Linked DNA regions of Ovis aries. The protein of the gene in region 3 interacts with the protein of the main gene of each other region in a pairwise test. Links are inferred from orthologs where the notes say so. Each region holds a gene or a part of one and is shown on either strand. Other genes may lie near its edges.

The links. The genes of interacting proteins can lie anywhere in the genome.
Region 1: the proteins of TRIM21 (region 3) and UBE2I interact in a two-hybrid assay, tested with the Homo sapiens proteins (2 studies listed by BioGRID). The two-hybrid records come from large-scale screens. The link is inferred for Ovis aries from reciprocal best matches to the Homo sapiens genes TRIM21 and UBE2I.
Region 2: the proteins of TRIM21 (region 3) and GRAP interact in binary tests that used the Homo sapiens proteins (3 or more experiments, as listed by UniProt). The two-hybrid records come from large-scale screens. The link is inferred for Ovis aries from reciprocal best matches to the Homo sapiens genes TRIM21 and GRAP.
Region 4: the proteins of TRIM21 (region 3) and TXN2 interact in binary tests that used the Homo sapiens proteins (3 or more experiments, as listed by UniProt). The two-hybrid records come from large-scale screens. The link is inferred for Ovis aries from reciprocal best matches to the Homo sapiens genes TRIM21 and TXN2.

What each region holds. Positions count from the first base shown.
Region 1 is NC_056077.1:1,573,688-1,577,202, reverse strand, and holds part of UBE2I (SUMO-conjugating enzyme UBC9), read right to left. Parts: coding exon of another isoform or gene 3,345-3,515; exon of another isoform or gene 2,179-3,344; intron 1,090-2,178; coding exon 980-1,089; intron 891-979; coding exon 811-890; intron 1-810. UniProt on the Homo sapiens protein: Accepts the ubiquitin-like proteins SUMO1, SUMO2, SUMO3, SUMO4 and SUMO1P1/SUMO5 from the UBLE1A-UBLE1B E1 complex and catalyzes their covalent attachment to other proteins with the help of an E3 ligase such as RANBP2, CBX4 and ZNF451.
Region 2 is NC_056064.1:33,955,602-33,959,116, forward strand, and holds part of GRAP (GRB2-related adapter protein), read left to right. Parts: intron 1-619; coding exon 620-742; intron 743-3,515. UniProt on the Homo sapiens protein: Couples signals from receptor and cytoplasmic tyrosine kinases to the Ras signaling pathway. Plays a role in the inner ear and in hearing.
Region 3 is NC_056068.1:49,571,360-49,575,418, forward strand, and holds the start of TRIM21 (E3 ubiquitin-protein ligase TRIM21), read left to right. Parts: upstream 1-1,254; 5' UTR 1,255-1,957; intron 1,958-1,994; exon of another isoform or gene 1,995-2,126; intron 2,127-2,622; 5' UTR 2,623-2,658; coding exon 2,659-3,066; intron 3,067-3,558; coding exon 3,559-3,654; intron 3,655-4,059. UniProt on the Homo sapiens protein: E3 ubiquitin-protein ligase whose activity is dependent on E2 enzymes, UBE2D1, UBE2D2, UBE2E1 and UBE2E2.
Region 4 is NC_056056.1:180,533,903-180,537,417, forward strand, and holds part of TXN2 (thioredoxin, mitochondrial), read right to left. Parts: intron 3,348-3,515; coding exon 3,224-3,347; intron 1-3,223.

The DNA.
Region 1 (3,515 bases), on a different chromosome or scaffold from region 3:
TGGAGGCGAGCAGGCCGGGGGCTCAGGGACTGGACCTCTGCCCTGCTGGCAGGCACCGTGCTGCCCTTGGCCAGTACTGGGCCCAGCCCGGGGACCTGAGCCATTCTGGGGAAGTAACTTGGTGCTTCTCTTGGGGGACTCGGGCAGCTGGGGTGCTGGCCGTTCAGCGGGCCTGAGGACAGCCCCAGCCTCGGCTTCGCCCCCTCCCCATGCTCTCCAGGAAGGACAGGCCCTGGGTGCCAGGCCATCACGGCACCAGGGCTCCTTTCCCCAGCCCCCTCAGGGAAGGGTGGGGCCAGGGTGTCAGAGCCCCCAGCCTGGCTGAAGGCCCCGCCCAGGCCAGCCTGGGAAGGACAGAAGCGCCAGGTGTTAACGGCTGCTTCCCGACTCCATCACCCCAGCCTCCTCCCTCAGCGCCGACCCTGGACACAGGCCCCGAGGGACACGCAGCAAAGGGCTGGGCATGAAGCAGACGCCTGCCTTTGTACCCTACTGCCGCCCCCGCCCCCTGGAAAAGCACCAAGCCCCAGCGGGACAGGGAAGAGGGGCTGGGAGACCGGGGGCGGCAGCAAGGGCAAGGCGGGAGGCTGGGGTCCCTGGTTGAGTGGGCCACCGGTCACCCCTCCTCCAGGGCCCACACCCAGAGGAACGTTCCCCCTGAGCTGGATCAGGGCTCAGACAAAGCGGTCAGCCCCCGAGTGCCGCCTCCTGACACCCCGTCACCCACTCCCCTGCCCGCCAGGGGCGGCCTAGACTGGCCTTCAGGGAGGCCAAGGAGAGGGCGCAGCGAGTGAGTGGGTCACTACTGACCAGTAGATCGTGTAGGCCTCTGCTTGAGCTGGGTCTTGGATATTTGGTTCGTTTAGAAGTTCCTGTATTCCTAATAAGATCTGCACGAGAGAAAACACAGCGGTGGGAAGGGCAGGCTCTCTGGCCGTGGGCTGGGCCCACTGGGGGGTGGGGTGGGGTGGGCACGTACCTGCTTGATGGTGATGGCTGGCCGCCAGTCCTTGTCCTCCTCCAGGATGGACAGGCACACCGTGCCCGAGGGGTACACGTTTGGGTGGAACAGCGGCGGTTCAAACTTGCCTGGAGCACAGGGAGGGAGGAGACGTTTCTGGAGGCAGGTGTCCCCTGCACAGGGCCCACCGCTTCCCTGGCGCCCCTCCCCCACACCAGGTGGGAAAAACTAACCGGCCCCAGGGAGGCGGCGGGGGGAAGCGAGCAGGCCACCGGACAGGCCCAGAAGGCAGGCCCTGCTGTGAGGGGGTGGGGTGGGGTGGCATCAGAGCACCGCGCCCTGGGCGGGACCCCTGCCCCAGGGCCTCCCAGTGGCCTGGCTCAGGAAGAAGGCAAAGAGTCCCTGCAGCGGGAGGCGAGAGGCCGGGGATGGGGGGGCACCGGGCAGAAATGCAAGGGCCCTTCCCCACCAGCGGCCATTTTCAAATTCATCCTGCTTCAAAACCAGAGGCTTTTAGGACCACAGGCTCTTTCTTCAAGAACAAAAAACATAGTTCGCCTTCTTTAAGGAAAAAGATACACATACAAAATTGGAAAAGCCTGCCACCCTGAGCCCCACCGCGGACCGTTCACTCACCTGCTGCTTTGGCCAGTTTTCCTCACCTGGACACTTTCCCCTCTGTCTAAACACGCCACACCCGGAAGAGGGCAGCAAGCGCAGCAGTGTGGTTGACGAGTTACCAAAGGTGAGCACACCCGCTTGTCCAACAGCTCTGAGAAACCTGCCCCCGCCTGGGCTCAGCCCACCCCACTACCACGCAGGCCTCGCTGGCAGGCCTGGGCGCTGGCCTACGAACACCAGGGCACAGCTCAGCCACTATGAATGGAGCCACAAGGCCTCCTCAGCGTGAAACTGCCACTTGAGCAGATGCTGCTGGTTCGCACGGCGGCTGCATCAATTCACACGCTGCCAGTGGGTCTTCAGGCTCCCAGGCTTTCCGACCGTGCCAGCCCGGTGGTGCCCGCCGGCCATGGTGCTGATGTGCGGCCCGCCATGCCTGGTCAGGGCTGCTCCTCTGGGAAGCTCTTCCTCGATCTCTGGCACGTCGTTCTTGCTGGCTTGCAGACGCTCTTTGTATACAAACACGCAGGATACAGGCCCACGGTCAGGTGTCTGTCCGCCACTTCGAGTCCGTCTCTTTGCTCCTTTAGTCGTGCTTTTTGGTAGATGTCGCTTCCCATCTTTAACTGAACCTGAGGCAGCGATCTTGCTTCTCGTGCAAAGACGCTGGCCTAGCACCAGGACCCCAAGCCCCGCCGTGACCTTACCCCGCCTCACGGGCATGGCTGACCCCAACTGAACATGGTCAGCGCCTCCCGTCTCCGGCACGTGCGGGCCCTCCTTCCCTCTGCGCAGACTGACCTCTGCCCACTGTGCAGACTCAAGGGCTGCCCCAGGTCTCTCTGGGCTTCTGCTGGGCTCCTCAGGGAGCACCAGTCCAGGGACAGGCGTCACGTGCAGCCTCAGGAGGCCTGCCGAGCGCTCTCCAGGGAGCACTCAGGGCCGCTGGGCTGCCCCCCACAGTGTCCACGAGGAGCTGGGTGCCCTCCCGGGCCACCGGCCAGCTGGAGAGCCTCTTCCGCGAAGGGCTGTCCGAGCTGACGGCTGCTTGCTTCTCCTCACCAGCGTGCGGGGGCTCCGGCGAATGTGAGGAAAGAACTGATGACAGACACATCCATCCCTCCTCCTCACGCACACTGCCCCGGGGGAGGGCACAGTCCTGACTCCAGGGCCGCCCAGCTCATCGCTTTCCCCCTGGTATTTCCAGTTAAGGGCTCTCGTCCACCAACATGAGGGAGGCTGTCTCCCCAGCAGCTCCTCTTCCTCTGGGCGCCAGGATCCCCGGGAGTGCCCGTCCCTCTTCTCCCACCCGCCCCCCACCCCAACCAATCGTACGCGGCTGGCCTCTGCTCCGCAGGCCTGCGCCCCTGTCAGGGTGGGCTCCCACCTGACGAGCCCCGGCCTGGGCCTCAGGACCCCCCGGCCCCAGCCAGAGTGCCAAGGCCGGGGCTACTGTCAGCACTTGCCTCCCCCGCGTTTCAGCCCGGGCAGCAGCTGACAGAAGTCTGCCTGATCACACTGGACCCGCAAGCAGAGCCGAGGGCAGGGGCGGCCCCCGCGCCCCCGCGCCCCCGCGCCGCACACGCTCGTCCTGCCAGGGCTTGAGGCGGCCCGGGTCCTTGCCGAGGCCTCTTTTTTTGGCCACACTGCAGGGCTTGTGGGATCTTAGTCCCCCAACCAGGGACTGAACCCCTGCCTGCAGTGGTGAAAGCGTGGAGTCCTAACCGCTGGACCGCCAGGGAATTCCCTTTAAAATTATTTTCTATGTTTTTTTCCAGCAGTGAGGCCTTACATCGGTTGGATTTACCCAGTGGTATTTGATGCGTGTAGTATACTTTAGAAGATGCCATCTCTGGTAATCACAGGAAAATAGACTTTTGTGAACTGCTCTTTCATTCAGCAGCCTTAGACTTGGAGAAATACTGGCTGTAGG
Region 2 (3,515 bases), on a different chromosome or scaffold from region 3:
TCTTTACCATCTGAGCCACCAGGGAAACCCGTTTCTCTCTGGTCATCTTTAAAATATTTTTTCACTTTTAAGAACCTACAATAGGAAATGTAAAAGCCCAGGTCAGGGTGGCTGGGTCAGAGTTCACTGAGGTGTGTGTTTGCCTGAGTCTGTGCTCATGTTAAGTCACTCAGTTGTGTCTGACTCTTTGTGACCCCGTGAACTGTAGCTTGCTAAGCCCTGGGATTCTCCAGGTGAGAATACTGGAGTGGGTTGCCATGCCCTCCTCCAGGGGATCTTCCCAACCCAGGGATCGAACCCGAGACTCTTGCGTCTCCAGCATTGGCAGGTGGGTTCTTTACTACTAGCGCCACCTGGGAAGCCCCGTGTGTTTGTTTGGTGTGTTGGCAAAGGTTTGTGCTCGGGAGGCAGAATGCTGGGACTAAGTACAGCTCCTGTCTGCCACCATCTGTGACCTTGGGTACATGACTTCTGCCTCTCCGGGCCTTAGGTTGATAGTCTGTAAAGTGGGTGCAGTCGCACCTCCTGTGTCCAGGACTGCTGGGAGGACCTGGCTGTGATGGGTGCCCGGCACTGGGCAGGGTGGCCGGCCCCTGCCCTCACGTTGCCCTCTCTGCAGGTGGTACTCGGGCCGGATCTCCCGGCAGCTGGCGGAAGAGATTCTGAGGAAGCGAAACCACCCAGGAGCCTTCCTGATCCGGGAGAGCGAGAGCTCCCCAGGGGAGTTCTCTGTCTCTGTGAAGTGAGTTCTGACCCGAATACGCGGAGGAGGGTGGGCAAGGACAGGCCCTTGGAGCGGGGAGGGAACGACAGACCCCTGGAAGCAAATGATCGTCTGGGTGTGAGGTGACTGCAGGGAGTGGCCCTGGGCAGTGAGGATTGGAGGCTGACTGGGAGTCCTCCCATGCCAGGCCAAAGTGTCAGCCATTTTTCCATGAGCAGCAAGTCACCAGGGGAAGCTGATATGACAAGGCTGCAGGGGGAGAGCAGCAGGCCCCCCAGGGTAGGTGTCCAGGGTGTGCTCTGAACAGGGTCCCCCTTGTGCTACGCAGTCAAGAGGATGGACCCTGGGGCCAGAGCGCTTAGGTTCACGTTCCAGCTCAGCCGTTTCCTGTCTGTGTGACTTTGGGCATGTCACTTAACCTCTCTGTACCTGTTTCCTCACGTGTAAAATGAGTTATTGCGAGGAGCAAATGAGTCATTCTATCGAGAGCCGTTAGAACAGTGGCTGCCACTGAAGCAGGGTAGCAGCCTCTGGGCAGAGCAGAACCTGAAACCAGAAGTCACAATGGGGCAATAAGGAGTCCAGGTGGAAGGAGGGGCAGGAACCGGGGAGGGGGTCGGGCCCTGCTTGTCTCTGTCCTGCCTCTTCTGCACCTGAAACAGGGGGATGTGGGAGCAGCAATTCAAGGACTAGTCGCTGAGTTGTGTGCAGTGTGCCGGGCAGCGTCAGGGACTCAGGAAGCAACAGGGAAAAAACAAAGTTGCTGTCCTTCAGGGTTTGTGTCTTAGTCGGGGAGACAGACCTTGAACAAGGAGAGAAACGAACACAGCAGGAGCCAGGTGGCAGGGGCTGATGGCCTCAGGTTTGAGCAGAGATCTGCAGCTGCGGTGCAGGCTGTCCGGGGCCTCGGGAGTGAGGACTGGGAGGAGAGCTTCCAGGCAGAGGGAACAGCAAATGGAAAGCCCCTGGGGTGACTGGGCAAAGCCAGTGGGGGGAGGGGTGTCAAATCCAGAGAGAATGGCCTGATAGGTCCCAACCAGGGGGCGGGTTCCCCCAGAACAACAGGCCCCCACGGAGCATCCCCACTAGGGGAAGGAAGTGGATCCCTTGGGCTACCGAGGAGGAGGATGGCTGGGATCAAGGGGGGGCCTGGAAAGAGCCAGGCGGAGCCTCTGGTATTAGCACTGGGATGGGGCTGGAGGGTCAGGGAGGTGCCATGTGCCCGTGAACTGGGACCACCAATAATACCACCATCAGGGTTGCTGAGGGCACTGGGCACGTAGCTGGATGGGATGGGTGGGTGGCTGTGGGCAGTGTGGCCTCAGTGTGCTGGATGGCACCAGTCTTCTAGAACTTGGATGTGTCACAGCCAATGGCTGGCTGATTTTCCAATGGATAAACACACCTATGTTGATGGCTTTGATGGCTTCTGATGGGGCACCAGGCTCAGAGGAGGGAAGAGCTCATGTCTCCCAGCAGGCCAGCCATGAGGCTCCTGCTTGCAGAAATGTGCCCCAAGGGAGGCCTTTCCTATCTGTTCTGTACAGAGCTTGTGGTGGTGTGTGGTTGGCACACTGGAGCCCAGCAAGTGGGCTTCTCCTAGTCGGGGTCAGGAGGGCTGCTGGGGATGGTGGTCCCCCATCAGGGGTCACAGCCCTCACCCGCCCCTCTCCAGGCTTTGTCACCAGTCTTGGCTTTTATCACTTCCGTTTCCCCTGGGAACAGGCTGAGCTCCTGATCCAAGGCAAGGGCTCTCCTCCTCTCTGAGCCTCAGGGGTGGTGAGACCCCAGTTCTTGTCCCTGAGCGTCTGGAGCCCCCTGGCTTGCCCCTCCCTCCACAGCCCAGCCCCTGAGGCCAGTGGGTCCCCCGAGGAACAGGAAGTGGCAGTTTTCCCTGTGCCAGCTCCCAGGGCCCAGTATCTCCTGGGAGAGGCGCCCGCCAGGCGGGCTGGTCTGGCCTCGCTCCAGGAATCAGCTCCAAGGTCACCGCAAAGGAGGGCACAGGGGCCTTCTTTGGCCACATCTGCAGCCTGAACTGAGCTTCTACCTGCCTCCCTCTCCCCTGAGAGTGGATCCCATGGCCTGAACTTCTGCCGTGGGTGCCCTGGCACCCTGCCCTCTCCTGGAGCCTCCCTGGGCATGCAGACCCGCCACCCCAGCCACGGGGTCAGGCCAGCCAGCTCAACCTTTGGGGTGTGTGTGTGTAGGACAGGGGAGGAGTCCCTCAGAGAGTGAGGGACTGGGGCCTCCACGATGCCTGATCGAGGGAAGTTCGATGGCAGCAGACATTCCACAGGCTGGAGGAGATGACATCTGAGCTGGGCCCTGAGGCATGAGTAGGAGTTTGGTGCACAAAAAGGACAGGGGATGCCAGGCCCAGGGAACAGCAAGTGTGAAGACCAGGGGTGGGGCAGAGAAGGCGGGCTTGGAGAGCAGTTTGTCTGTCTGAGCAGGAGGGGGATGAACAGTTTTAGGGAGCCAGCACCAGTGCCGTCTGGGAAAGGGGCCTGGAGTGTCCCTCAGAGAAATCCCCGCACACACACTGTCCCCTCTGCTCCACCCCAGGCATCCTGCCCAAGCCCTCTCCCCTAGCTCAGAGCCAGAACCCTGGGTGCCCGGGTTGTGGTGTGTACACAGCACCACAAGGTGGCGCCCTCCAGCCTCAGTTGCATCCCCCAGGCCAGGATCCTGGATCCTGCCCCTATTCTGGTCCATGCTCTGTCAGGCGGCCTTTCAGGGCCCTTGGAGGACCACCAGGCAGACCTCAGAGCAGGAAATAGACTCAGGGAAT
Region 3 (4,059 bases):
CTCTATGATATAAGAATGTTGTACCATAAATTCTGGTGCACATCTAAGATCAACAACTAATAGGTGATGGTATTTTTTATAGCCATTATAAACACACTCTTCAGAGAATAAAGAAGGGAGGTGGTTGCAGCTCCTATTTCCCTCAAACTAGTAACTCATTTACAGATCATTTTCTTTCCATCCCCCAACACAGGGCTCAGCCTTGTTCTAAGGGTCTAGTAAAGAAAGAAGTTCTTCCACCAGAGTAAAAACTCTGATTCTTATAAATAGGAATTTGCCACTACTCCCTGGCTCTTTGAGGTTTCTTGTGCTTGCTGCTGCTGCTGCTGCTGCTAAGTCGCTTCACTCGTGTCCGACTCTGTGCGACCCCATAGACAGCAGCCCATCAAGCTGCCCCTGGGATTCTCCTGGCAAGAACACTGGAGTGGGTTGCCATTTCCTTCTCTGATGCATGAAAGTGAAAAGTGAAAGAAGTCGCTCAGTCGTGTCCGACCCTCAGCGACCCCATGGACTGCAGCCTTCCAGATTCCTCTGTCCCTCGTATTTTCCAGGCAAGAGTCCTGGAGTGGGGTGCCCTTGCCTTCTCCGTTCTTGTGCTTAGTGGCTCAGTTGTGTCCGACCCTTTGAGACTCCATGGACTGTGGTGAAGTATACAACTGTGAACGTATTTAATGCCACTGAACTACACACTTGAAAACGGTTAAGATGGTAAATGTTATACGTACTTCACCATAATTTAAAATAATAATAAAACAACCTGAGAAAGTCCCTGGCTCAAGGATAAGTACACAGTTGTTGCCTCAATAAATGTCAAGTCCCTTCTTACCACTCACTGGTGTGATAATGCGCTGAGGTACTGTGGAATAAATTGCTCTCCCCCTGATGTTAAAAGAATATCAAGTCTCCTGAAAAGGAATTGTTTTTGGAAATAGGGAACAGAAGATGGCCTTTAGAGGAGACCTCCAGGCACCCCTGTCCATCCAAACCTCCTTTAAAGCAGCTCCCACACGAGGGCACAGCACGTAGGCCTGCATGGCTCCTCCACGCAGCAGATACGATGCTTCACTCTATTACACAATGAGGACACGGGAGGGAACGCAAAGCAAGGACTAAAGGCTGCGGAGCTTTCGCTCGCCCCAGCCTCCCAGAAGCTCCAGACTCTGGCGGCACCTCAACCCCTCCGCCTTCCTCCTCCCTTGGCCCCGCCCACTCTCCTCCCGCTCTGCCCGCCTCCCTTTCAGATTTGCGGTGGACAAGGAATCGAAAGTGAAATAAGGAAACGGCTGCCATCCACTGCGTCTCTTGAAAAGGTGAGTGAACTTGGCTAGACCGAGGTACCCCAGCTCTCCCTAGGGGACCTCTCTCCCCTGCCCCAGGTCTGAAGTGCCTCATCCAAGCCGTCCCCACCCCTAGAGATTTCGATCTCAGGTTTTCTTTCGCAACAGGTCTCCCTCAACCTTAACCCAGCAGTTTTTCCCCTGCAGCCTGGGAGGAGGCTGGGCTGTAAACCTGACTGGGATGTCCCCTGGAAGGAGCTCGGATTGCTCTGCTTCCGCCGGCACCTGAGCTGGGAAGAAAAACCAGGGAAACTGGGAGAACCAGGATGGCAACCTAGCTCAGGGGTGGTCCGGGAGCCCGGTGTGGGGGTAGGTCCGCGATCCCTGAGACTGCTGTCCCCAAAAGGCTCCCTCTGGAGGTGAGAGAGACAGGGTTGCTTAGGATATTAGAAAACTATGGGTCTGCGCCCTAGAAGAAACAAAGGCGGGGCCAGGTTCAGGGTAGCTGAGAGAAGAGCCCAGGAAGTTCTTAATAAACCTCACGCTTCTGTGTGTATGCACATACATATATACACACATATACATATGCGTGTGTGTGTGTGCTCAGTCGTGTCTGACTCTTTGCGACCCCATGGACTGTATGTAGGCCGCCAGGCTCCTCTGTCCACGGGATTTCCCAGGTAAGATACTGAAGTGGGTTGCCATTTCCTTCCCCAGGGGATCTTCCCAACTCAGGGATCAAACCTGCTGTCTCCTGTGTCTCCTGCATTAGCAGGTGGATTCTTTGCCACTTGCACCACCTAGGAAGCCCATGTACTTACGGATATACGTGTATCCTTATGAAAATATGTAAGCATAAATATAAATATTCTTATATATATTCATGTTACCGATGATTAGATAGATACCAATAACTCCTGCCTATTGCAAAGATTAATGAGAATGTATGTGAAGCATGTAGCACCTGGCACATGGAACGAGCACAGTCAATGGTCGCTACTGTTAAGATTAGCTTCTCAACAGAGTAGAAAACCAGTGGCCTGAGGCAGAAGATCAATAGGTAAAGCCTGGACTCTGAGCGGTTAAGCAGAGATGAACATGATGAAAGTCGAATTGTAAGCAGCTGTCTCTCAGGTTCTCAACAATATTTGCTATCTCTTGGGGACTCAGTGTCCCCTTCTGTCTGACTGGATCAGTGACCCAGACTATGGAAGAGGAGCACTATTCAGGTTGAGGTCCTTGTCTTTTCTTGTTTTCACTCCCTCCAGTTCACCCTCTCTCGTGGTTCCCTTTTCTTACCTGGCTCTTCTCTTCCGTCCCTTTCCTCTTCTCCCCTCACCGCAAGATCTCCCCAGCACTACCGAAGAGGAGCATCACCCCAATGGCTTCAGCCGTACCCTTGACAATGATGTGGGAGGAGGTCACGTGCTCTATCTGCCTGGATCCCATGGTGGAGCCTATGAGCATTGAATGTGGTCATAGCTTCTGCCAGGAGTGCATCTCTGAGGTCGGGAAAGAAGGAGGTAGCGTCTGTCCTGTGTGCCGGCGCCACTTCCTGCTCCAGAATCTCCGGCCCAATCGACAGGTAGCCAACATGGTGGACAACCTTAGGAAAATCAGCCAGGGTGCCAAGGAGGGCCCACACGGGGAGCTGTGTGTGGTGCACAGAGAGAAAATTCACCTCTTCTGTGAGGCAGATGGGAAGGCCCTTTGCTGGGTGTGTTCCCAGTCCCAGAAACACCGTGATCATCCCATGGTCCCTATTGAGGAGGCTGCTCAGGAGTACCAGGTGAGTCCTCAGCACAGAGGCAGGAACAGGTAAAAAGGAGATGGGGCCCTGTTGATGGCTTTGTTCCCCAGAGCTGGAAATGGGAGAGAGTTACCTGTGGGGCTGGGGAAAGAATAGGGGTCTCCTGCCTTCTATGTCTTATTTAAGGGGGAAATGGCAAGCTCAGCACAGTTTTCTCATTCTCACAGAGCAGGGATGTGCTATGGGAAAATGCTTCAAGAATCTTCTTCCCTTGTGGCCTCCTGCTTAATTAGGAACAAGCAGTGCCCCCACCCTTTGTACACCAACCGTGTGGCCCTATTTTGTAAGAAATATCAGGCTTTTTCCAAAACCTTCCCATCCACAGAGTTCCTACCCCAAACAGACTCTAGTCCTTCCTTGTCCTCTGCACTCAGCCTCTTCTAAGAACCAGTATGATCTTCCCCCCACTTCACACCACTGCACCCTACTTCTTGACCTGACTGGGTATCATCTTGCTTTCGTTCTCTGCAGGAAAAGCTTCAGGTGGCACTAAAGAAACTAAGAGATAAGCAGGAGATGGCTGAGAAGCTGGAATTGGACATTGCAATGAAGAAAGCATCCTTTAAGGCAAGAGTCATATCCTGAAGGGAATCTTAGATCTGAAGCCTGGGGAGGGTCCAGCTATGCCAGTCCCTATATCTCACTCCCCAAGAACCAGCTGCCCCATAGGTCTCTTGATGGAGGGGATTAAAAGAGTGTGGAGATCAAAAAGAGCTCCCAGTCAGATGGAGAGAGAGTCTTAGGAAAAGGTGCTGAGGGACAAGATATATTCTAATGCTCCTGCTTCTTGAGCCCAGTCTCTGGAGATGACAGCCCAGTCTCTGGAGATGGCCTCAGAGTTTGGGACAGGGGAATGCCAGGAGAGATGCCCAATGTCAAGAAATGACAAGTTGTCAAGAAATGACAGTGACTATGAGAACCAGATTTAAGTGAACCATAAAGGCCTAAGATGGGCTTCCCTAGTGGCTCAGA
Region 4 (3,515 bases), on a different chromosome or scaffold from region 3:
ACTGAGCCACCAGGGAAGCCCAGTGGCTGGAGTACTGTGTGATTTCCAGTAATGCTGAAATACTATGATTCAATGAACTGTCTGTGAGGTTATGGTGGTGGCGGTGGTGTAGTCGCTAAGTTGCATCCGACTCTTGTGACCCCGTGGACTGTAGCCTGCCAGGCCTCTCTGCCAATGGGGTTCTCCAGGCAAGAATACTAGAGTGGGTTGCCATTTCCTTCTCCACTGTGAGGTTATATGGACCATTAAAAAAATTTCAAACAAAAAACCCAAACAAGGTACCCCAAATGTTGGCAGTGATTTGTTTGGATGGTAAGATTACTGCTATTTGGTTGTTCTGAAAATGCTGTTTAAAGGGCATTCTCTGTAAGATGAGATAAATAATGAAACTCCATGTGTGAGGTGAACATCAGAAGCCCCAGAGGACAGTATTAAGGGTCAAGGTCCACAGCCTGAGCCACTCTTTCTCTGCGGGGTCTGAACAATCGGGGAATGCCCAGCCAGAGAACCTGAGGAGGTGGGGAAGAAGAGGGCCCTTCACTTGGCCAACTCAGGGCAGTGTGTGTGTGGTGGGGGGAGGCACACCCCAAGGCCCTGGGCGACCTTCCCTCCTCTCTCCTTTGGGAGATGGTGAAATTCTAGGGTGGATAGTTAATGGAAACATAGAGTGTGGTGGCAAGGGAGAGGAATTTGTGCAAAGAAGGAGACACACCCTGAGAATGTGTGCTGGGCTTGGGAGTGGCAGAAGAGTTTGGGGAGAAGCCCCTAATTCCCTGAATATGATTTAAAGCAGCTTCTCCAAGTTCATTCACCATTTGGAAAAGGCCTTCAGGCCTTGGAGCAAGCTGTCCCAGGAGGAGCTATGGATCCCTTAGCTGACATGTCCTCACACTCTCTTCCGAAACACCAGGTGTGAAGGAAGGAAGGAAGGAAGGAAGAGGGTAGGGGAAGGGTCAGGAAGAATCCCTGCGGGAGCTTCCTTAGCCAACAATAACCTGGCAACTGGTCAGCTCAGGACCTGGCAAGACCAAAAGGCTGTGTCCAGGTGACCTGGGCCCAGCAGTCTTGAGGTCCCTCTGTATGACCCATGTACTCTCTGGACAGTGGACAGACAGAGAAGACCCTACAAGAGAACCTCTCCCCTGCCACACACTTCCAGGCTTAACCACAGGACTTCAGGGCCAGGCCCGATGTCACCAGGAACACAGACTCCTGGCAATCCCAGCAAGGTGGTCCTGGGAATTCTTACCACCCGTGTGACCACAGCTGGAGGAAGTGGGTTATCCCTGGTATCCTTATAGTTACCACAGCTCCTGGGGCATGGTTGGTGCTTGGGATGTGTTAGCCTAAGTTCCACTGGCTGAGACCAAAGCTGTGGTATCCGGAGGGAGGGAGCCTAAGACATGTGGAGTCTGTCCGTCCTCCTGGGGTGGCCAGAAGCTCCAGCCCTGAACTCACACCGGAAGGCCATACCCACGCCCACAGCTCCCGCGGGTCTCTGGGGAGGGATGGACAAGCAACAAAGTCAGGGGGCCCTAAATGGCCAGACCAGTGCCTCCCTGACTGAGCGGCCAGTGGGACAGCTGAGCCCTGTAAGCCGCTCTGGTCACCCAGTGCTGTGGGCAGTCTTACTGGGGTAACATCCCCCCAACCACCTGCAGTCATCATCTGTGGCTTTACCTGCCCAGCATCTCTTGCCCTTGCCTCTGGTCAGGGCAGCCCGGCTTTCCTCGAGGGACCACTCCTAGCCCCAGGTCTAGGGGCAGCCAGTCTATTCTCACCCTGCCCCTACCCATTTCCTGCCACAGGGACTGTGGTGGACAGGCATCTCTACTTGACTTGGTCTCAAGGGAATCAAACATGGACTTCCAAAGTCTGAGAAAGGGAGAGGCCACCTCTTTCATCACTACTACCAGGAAAGAGTGAAGGTTCACTATGGCCAGAACCCGATATTTCAGAGAACCAGAAATACGGATTTTCGCATGAAATCTTCTCAGTTTTAAATATTAGCATCCAGTCCATTACTGAAAAAAAAAAAAAACACCACTTCGAGGACCAGCCCAGTCAAGTCACTGAGCCAGATGTGACCCTGGCTCTGTAATGACTGTCTTCAGCATGGCTATTCAGGGTCCTCCCAATGCGGCCACAGTCGGCCTTCCCAGCTGCCTGTTTGCTCACTCAGGGTCTTTGTAAAAGATATCTGCTCTGCCAGAATCCACTTCTAAAGAGCTGCATCGTTCATTCTTTACCCCTTCCAGGTCTCTGCTCAGATGGTGCTTTTCAGTGAGGCCTTCCCTACCCAACCCTTTAAAAAAAGGAAACCCTCCCTGCCCTAGGCCCAGCACTCCCACCTGCTATTCCTGATTTCTTTTTTCCCAGGACACTTATTATCTGAAACAGGGAACAGTGACCTGTGGCCCACAAGTCTAACCCTGGAATTTTGTAAATGAAGTTTTGCTGGCACATGGCCGTGCCCATTCATGTAGATTCTATGGTTACCCTCGAGCTACAAGACAGGCGAGCATTTGCAACAGAGACCGGTGTCCTACAAAGCCTCAAACAGGTACCATCTTGTCCTTTAGAGAACAAGTTTGTGGACGCCCAATCTAAAACACTAGCACTCAGGCTCCACGAAGGCAGGGACTCTGTTAGTTCTGTTCACTGCCGCATCCTCAGCCCCGAGTCACAGCCCTGGCATTGAAGGCACTCTGGATACATGTCTGCTGAAGAAATGGACAAGTCAATCAAACACGGGAGAGCAGCTCATGTCTTCGTGTCTGTGTGCTCTTGGCCCTGCCTTCTTCACAGCTCTGCTCAGAGGGTCCCTCTAACGTGACACATTCCTTGTCCCCTCTACTCCCCTCCCTGCTCCCCTTGGGACAAGGAGCTCATCTTGTTTGTGCCAGCATCATGTACGCCTGGCACACTGCAGGGACGGATAGATGAATCCATGAATGAGGAAGGGCCATCAACTTCCTGAGACTCAGAGAAAAACCTGGTGTTTGGGATCATACATCCCAGTTCCTAAAGGTATTGAAGAGAGACAGAAGGCTCAGAAGATTAATGGAGTCACAGCTGCAAAGTTCTAAACCCCTGAGAGTTCTAGAAAGAATCAGGACACCCCCTTACTGACTCCCTGCTGGTCCCTAAGACATTTCCAGCTACCCCGTGACCCCAAGCACCCCCACCAGCTGCCCTGTAGCAATCCCCTGCCGATCCATACCTCATACTCTAGGGCGAGGTCTGTGTGATCATCGATATCCACTTTGGCCATCACCACCTTTCCATGCTGCTTGGCCACCACCTTCTCTAACCGGGGCCCCAGGATCTTGCAGGGACCACACCACCTTGGAAGGGAAGAAAGAAGCATCCCATCACAAAAGTGCTCGCCCAATGATCTATAGTCCTCTGGGACCTTCCCTCATCCTACGTCTCTCTGCTGGACCCTCTCCCCTGGTTACCTCTCCCTACAGTGTGTGAATGTTAACCTGCAATGCTGACATGCCGGTTAATTA